Linked DNA regions of Oryzias latipes. The protein of the gene in region 1 interacts with the protein of each later gene in a biochemical or structural test. Links are inferred from orthologs where the notes say so. Each region holds a gene or a part of one and is shown in the gene's direction. Other genes may lie near its edges. The genes, in order: axl and gas6.

What was found.
Region 2: the proteins of axl (region 1) and gas6 form a complex in vitro, tested with the Homo sapiens proteins (2 studies listed by BioGRID and IntAct, with this or other methods). The link is inferred for Oryzias latipes from reciprocal best matches to the Homo sapiens genes AXL and GAS6.

What each region holds. Positions count from the first base shown.
Region 1 is NC_019871.2:3,186,600-3,189,773, reverse strand, and holds the end of axl (tyrosine-protein kinase receptor UFO), read left to right. Parts: intron 1-364; coding exon 365-501; intron 502-623; coding exon 624-1,071; 3' UTR 1,072-2,620; downstream 2,621-3,174. Other genes in the region: galectin-4, read right to left, coding at 2,707-3,094, 3,160-3,174. UniProt on the Homo sapiens protein: Receptor tyrosine kinase that transduces signals from the extracellular matrix into the cytoplasm by binding growth factor GAS6 and which is thus regulating many physiological processes including cell survival, cell proliferation, migration and differentiation.
Region 2 is NC_019861.2:16,493,539-16,497,358, reverse strand, and holds part of gas6 (growth arrest-specific protein 6), read left to right. Parts: intron 1-25; coding exon 26-144; intron 145-363; coding exon 364-553; intron 554-629; coding exon 630-794; intron 795-888; coding exon 889-1,057; intron 1,058-1,240; coding exon 1,241-1,380; intron 1,381-1,454; coding exon 1,455-1,656; intron 1,657-2,335; coding exon 2,336-2,487; 3' UTR 2,488-3,820. UniProt on the Homo sapiens protein: Ligand for tyrosine-protein kinase receptors AXL, TYRO3 and MER whose signaling is implicated in cell growth and survival, cell adhesion and cell migration.

The sequences.
Region 1 (3,174 bases):
AATTTGACTGTCATGAAAAAACTGGTGTTAATCTGCGGAATGTGTCAAATCCTTCCAGGACTTCAACAGTAGTTCCAACATTGACCTGAGCCACTGCTGGGGTGTGTGTGTGTGTGTGTGTGTGTGTGTGTGTGTGTGTGTGTGTGTGTGTGTGTGTGTGTGTGTGTGTGTGTGTGTGTGTGTGTGTGTGTGCGTGTGCCGCAGACACCAGCAGGGAGCAGCTGTTAATCCTGAACATGCTTCAGGAATGATGCACAGGAAATTCTCCACATGCTTCCCTGTTCCAAATCCCGGATAAACCCCCAGCTGAGGGTTTTTTTTCTTTCCAGAAAACTTCTCACCTGTTTGTGTGTCTCTGTCTCAGTGGTCATTCGGGGTCACCATGTGGGAAATCGCCACACGGGGTCAGACGCCGTATCCCGGTGTGGAAAACAGCGAGATTTACGACTATCTGAGGCAGGGAAACCGCCTCAAACAGCCGCCAGACTGCCTGGACTTGATGTAAGTGGTGACGAAAACCACAACTGCTGTGACAGCTTCAGGCCAAAAATGGATCTGTTTTATTTATTTATTGACATATGTTCTCAGACCATGAGTGATTATTTGTGTTGTTGGCGTTCCAGATATTCTCTCATGTTCTCCTGCTGGCTGCTGAGCCCCAAGGACCGCCCCTCCTTTGAGGCGCTGCGCTGCGAGCTGGAAAAGGCGCTGGAGGACCTGCCGGATCCTCAGGACCCCGACGAGATTCTGTACGTCAACATGGACGAGTCCTCCACGGAGCTGGGAGCCGTGGGTGGCCGTGACCCCCTTGGGGGACTGCCCCCCTTCTGCCTGAAAGGCCGCGACACGGTGACCACGGTGGAGGTCCACCACCCCAACCGCTACGTCCTCTGCCCCCAGCACGAGACCAACCGCCCCCTCTCGGACTCCCTGGACAGCCTGGACATGCCGGTGTCGTCGTCCACGGCTACGCTGCCCCTGCAGCCGTCCCGAGACTCCACCCCCACCCTGACCCCGGACCCCCCCTTTGAGCTGCGGGAGGACAGGGACAGGAAGATGCCCTGGCAGTAGAGGACTTCCTCTGAGCTGCCCAAACCTATCACTGCCAAAGAGTGCCGTCCCGGCGGGGAGAGCTCCCCCCAGCCGTCTGCAGGCTGGGACGCGCGCCCCCACGTTTTACACATGGCGCTTTTCACGGGAAGGACCGCCACCTCTTTTCACGAGTCAGACTGAACTTCCTGTCGGTACGACAAGCGCAGACAGCTGCAGACCATCGGTGGCGTCCGTCCACCGGCGTGGAGCCGGGCGGTCACGCCCAAAAAACACAACAAACCTCTGCGGAACCAATTGAGCATGCCCAGATAGAAACCCCACCCCTACTTGGGAAAGGAGGCGGGCTCATCCTCAGGATGAGCAGCAAAAGATTTTTTAAAACCCGAATCCTGAATATTAGTTTTGAAAAGAAAAATGACTAATTAGTTTCACTTTTTTAAAGCATAAAAGTTATTTTTGAACAGCAAACTAACCAATAAAATCTCAGACTTCAGTGGGAGGAGCCTCCACGGTTTCTGGGAGAACATTTGATGTTCCAGACGAGGCTTTCAAACGTCCGGATCCACCTGGGTTTTACTGCTAAGTTCTCCTTTGAGATCCTTGAAGAACAAACGGGATCGGACAAACTCAGGAAGCTCCGGATCTCCAGAGGCTGCGGTTCTGCTGAGGCTAAGCCGGTCCAAACAGGTGCGGTCCAGGGGGGGTGGTCTGTGAGACGGCACGGATTCTCCAAACGAAGGACGGGTTCTTCAGCTTTGTTTTTGACTCAAGCACAGTGTTGTTACACCTTTTTATTGTTTTTCTTTTTGACATTTTCTACAACTTTGCACTAATGTTTTTGTGTGTTTAGACTTTTGGATCTTTCAGTTTTTTAAAGGACATTTTTGGATGATTTTGTTCTGCTGAAGCCCTCCTCCAAACTATTCCTTAAGCCAGAGAACAGAAAAGACTTTGGGAAGTCCAGCAGTAAAATCTTTGCATATATGCACTTATTTTTGTGGATAGAGAATCTGTAGACCTTTTGCATAGTTTTTTTTTAATCCTAAAAACAAGTTCCTGCACATATTTTGGGGAAAAAAATGTTTTTTTTGAGGCGCTGTTTTTGTTTTCGGTGTAATCTGAGCACAAACACAACAGTCGTGATCTTCAAACCATCGGCTGTGTAACCCTTGTGCTGTCCTAGGCACTTTGACATTGGGAGTTGGGTCATCTAGACCCACTAGACAGTGCTCTGAACCTTTTTTCTTCAATGATTTGTGATCTTCACTGGTGTCCATGAAATCTTTCCACCTTTATCCACCTTTGTCATGGTAGGGAGAACACGTCAATGTAAGGGGGGGGTCATCTTGACCCCATAGGATAGCACAAGGGTTAAAGTTGATTTCTTTTGGTGCTGTTTTCTTCCAAACTGCCTTCAGAGAGCCAGTATTTTGCATTAAAAACACGTCTGGAATGTTTCACCTGTTACCGATGTTTTGTACTTGGAGAAGACTGTACAGTTATTGTCTTTGTATGCAAACAAACCTTTCTACAGTATTTTACAATAAAAATAAATGAGATTCCTCGATTTTGGTGGTTTCTTTTTATTCGAGTCGTGTCGTATCTCGGCACAGATCGTATTCTCACATGACGTCAGTGCGTCCAGAGAACGTCCTAAAATTGGACGTAGAATATCTGCACGTCGCCGCGGATCTCCAGCATGTTGATCTCGTAGAAGGACATCCGGTGGGCGAAGTCGAACAGATGCTCTCCGTTCACAAACACCTTGAACTTTTGGTTTCCACAGCGAATGGACATCTGGCAGCGAGATGGAGGATTTACTGAAAAGGACGGCGCGTCTGCACCAGAACTCACCTCCGCGGCGCTCTCACGTACGTCAAAGAACTGCCCCTCCCTGAAGGGGTTGGTGCTGAGCTGGCGCTCCTCTTTGCCCCAGTCGCCCCCAATCCTGCTGTTGCGAACCACCTCCCCCGCCTTCACCCTGGGGTTCAAATGGAGGGCCGTGTTCCCGGACCCGCTCGCCACGAAGTTGACGGCCATCCTACGACGACAGCTGACGGTTAGAGCTGCTGTGACTCGGCCGTCGTGCAGGTGACAGAGACGCACCTGTCCGCTCCAGAC
Region 2 (3,820 bases), on another chromosome or scaffold:
TACAGTTTTTTTATTTCTTCTTCAGAATATAACTCGCTGCATGATGCAGTCCCCAAAGAGAAACCCGCGTTCTCTCTATTTGGGCCGCATGTTCAGCGGCGTGCCGGTGGTTCGCCTTCGTTTTCGTCGCAGGGTTCATACCGGGTGAGAATGTTGGATATATATTTTTATGTGGGTCAGTTCTGCATATCCTCAACAAAAATGGTAAAACTGTCTTTCATTTTCTTCTTTTTTGCATAGTTTTCTCTGATTTGCTTCTTTTATCCTTTTTTGGTCAGCCTCTGCTGTTTTTAAAAAGTGCTTGATAAATAAAGTTGACTTGACTTTTTTTTTCTTTCATGCATATCCCTCTTTTCTTATTAGCTTTTCAGCAGAGTTTGACTTCCGCACCTTCGATCGAGAGGGGGTGATCTTCTTTGCAGGCGGTCACCTGAACAGCTCCTGGATTGTGGTAGCAATGCATCGTGGGAGGCTGGAGCTGCAGCTGAAGTACGGCGCGGTCAGCAGAGTCACCAGCAGCGGGCCCGTTGTCAATGACGGGCAGTGGAGGAAGGTCAGAGCGTGCCTTCAGGATTGTCACGAGCTGCCATGTCCGTGCAGATCAACTGACAGGGGTCTGCTTGTCGCAGATCTCAGTGGAGGAGCAGGGGCGGAGCCTCGTCATCAAGATTGACCGGGAGGCCGTGATGAAGATCGCGGTTAACGGGGATCTGTTCACGCTGAAGAAAGGCATGCACGAGCTCAACCTGACCGTTGGAGGAGTCCCCTTCAAAGAGGATCGCCTCGTCAATCAGGTGTTTGTTTGGCTTCTTCTTTTCCCAGAGATGCACCAAAGCGGATGTCAGCTACTCATATTTGAACTTTCATACCCGTTCCTTAATTGTGTAGCTGAATCCACGCCTTGATGGTTGCATGAAAGATTGGCGCTGGCTGACGGGTGAAGACACTTCCATACAGGAAACCATCCAGTCCAACGACAACATGCAGTGTTTCAGCACTGAGGTTCCCGGAGCATTTTACCCTGGAGCCGGCTTCGCTCTCTTCAACATCACCTATGGTGTGTGTTTGTGGTGTTCGCGGGTTGGTGAATAATCAAAGCTTCCAGAGGACCTGTAGAAATTTGTCAGTTTTCTTTCCTGAGGCAGATGGTTGAATCCTAACTTTCTGTTCACCTCATTAACATTATCCTCTTTCATGTTACTTTTTGTGACCGTCTGATTTCCTATTTGCTTCACTTTAGAGTCCCAGAACCTGACAGTTCAGCTGACCCTGCTCCCACTCTCTGGTATCGGCGTTCTGTTTGCCCTTGTTCACCAGGACAAAGTGCCTCTGTCTATTGCTCTGGCAGACTATAACCCTTTAACCGATGAATGGCGAGATGTGAGTACATCATCGCTGACTCGTCTTCAGAACGTCTCTGCACACCTTGATCTTCATCTTCTGCCTGTCTGCAGTTTGTTCTGGTTTCTGTGGGGAACGTGATCGTTGCCAGCTCCCCTGCGCTCCTGTGTGACGGCCAACGTCACGACATCCAAGTGACCATCTCAGGCAACCAGACCTCACTTCTGGTTGATGGCGAAGCTGGAAGGACTGAAGACGTGGAAGTTCCCACTAACCTCTTCTCACATTCCAGCACTTTTATCGGAGGCATCCCAGGTGACCAGCTCTTTCCATCAAAGGCATTCGTACAAATCCAGACACCAGTTAAACAAGGCTGCTTAGTTCATCATTTGAATTTTTGTTGAAATACGAGTACAGTTTTAAAATCTACTCAAATAAAAAGTAAAAGTAAAAATTGCCCTTTATTATTATAAGAAGTTACCCAAGTAGAACGTAGTACATATCTATGTCCTTTACTTTATCTCGCTTCACCTTTTGCAGTCTCAATTCACAGATTTTTTTTTTTTTTGTGCAATTTTGCATGTTTTGCTTTTTCAACAGTGTGTAATCTGCGTCCTGATTGGCCTGAGATCATTGTTAATCAATCTCATCCGTACCGTGTCTCCTGTACAGAATGCGTTCGGCTTGCCAGAGTTGCATAAATCCTAGACTGCGAGCAGATCTTTCTCTTTCTGTAATGTTGTTATTCACCTTTAGGTGTATTCCTTCAGGGGTCGCCACAGCAAATCAGGTTTCATTCGTGTTCTTGTCTGTCTGAGACAAATGTATAAAGTGTGTAGTGAGGCATTTTACAGCCTTAAAACATCTATAATCCTACTTTTGGATTTCACCTATTGCAGGTTGTTTTTAGAACATAACCCCCACAATAAACAATGGAACACTGTAATGTGAGGTCTGGCGTGACAGCAGTGTCCTGTTCCTGTCTCCTCCCCAGATGTGCCTCTGGTGTCCACGGTCGTGTCGGCGCCCTACAGCGGCTGCATGGAGGTCAGTGTGAATGGACGCTCTCTGGACCTGGACCAGGCCATCCACAAACACAATGACATCCGCTCTCACTCCTGCCCCCTGCTGGGCTCTGACCAGTGACGAACCTGCTCTGTGTTCCAGAAGGTTGTCCAGGCAACTGAGGATGGTTTAAAAAAAAATAGAAAACTTTAAACGCTCTGACAAAGGAGGGGGTTTTTGGATTTTAGCTTAAAAAGTAAAACAGTGCAGCTAAAGCCCTGGCACACCATCACTTACTACCCTCACACTGTGATGAAAGTGCTGCTTCTAGGTATTTGCAGGGTTTTTGTTCCAGTTTTCTCAGTGTTGCGGCGCACATCAGACAAACAGCAGCTTATCGCCATCATCAGTAAGACACCTGGACTTCTTGATTAACTGCCCAACTTTTGCAGCCTTGTAAGCCATGAGGGGAGGAGTGCTTTGCTCCACACCGATATGCTTAAATAAAGAGGTGAAGAGCAGGTTTGGGATTTGTGTTGCTTGGATTAGATTTATATTCCAAGCCTGAAGTGCTAACGCTGAGAAAAATGAAAAAAAAAACACAAGAGTTGGACTAACGGTGGACTTAAATGCCCTTAAAATGCTGACTCCTTCCCCATAGCCCCACACTGAGTTGTGGTGTTGGACCTTGCACACAGTTGTAGGTATAAGTGGACTGCAGCGTGTGAAGCCACTGTCTTGGATTTCCCCATTTGCTGCAAAGCACTCAATGTCTGCCTGAAACCTTAAGAAAAACAACCTCATGCCTACAAAACAACTACAAGCCCGAACACGTCCAGACCCCCCCAAACAGGTCAATAATTCCACATGGGTGCAGTGCTGTAGGAGATCAAGCACGTCTTGTTGACGGAAACTGAAACCAACCTCCTTGCAGAGAGCGATGCATTTTCACCTGTGGATTATCAGACAATTCCGTCACCAAAGCCCCACCCCACCGTCCGCTCTTTGAGTCATGGAGACGGTTAAAGCTGCCACACCGATCAACCTGAAGAGGATGGAAGGGCCGCCGAAGCACAGGGCGGGGCCAGAGCACTGCATTACCAAACAAGCTACTGAGAACGACCATGAGTGTGCTGTGAAATGCTGAGTCTGTAAATAACGTGACTGTTCAATGCTTTACACACAACAGAAAGGAGGCACTACCTTCATTCCCTGTGGTTTCATGCACAGTCGATCCAAAGTTGAACTAAAAACGTCTTTCCACCCACACCACAAGTTTCTGTAACGGCAGACGGATGTAAAAAGTGCTGGAGAGTCAGGTGGAGCCATAGCCGGGAGGTCTATAGGAGCCCGTCTTTATCTATCGGTGCTGAGCAACCCACAAAATAAAAGAATGTCAGAGGAGAATGCCAAAAGGGCTCCTTCGTTACTTTTCTGTTTGAATGGATGCCAGAGTATAGAGCTTGATCTTTTA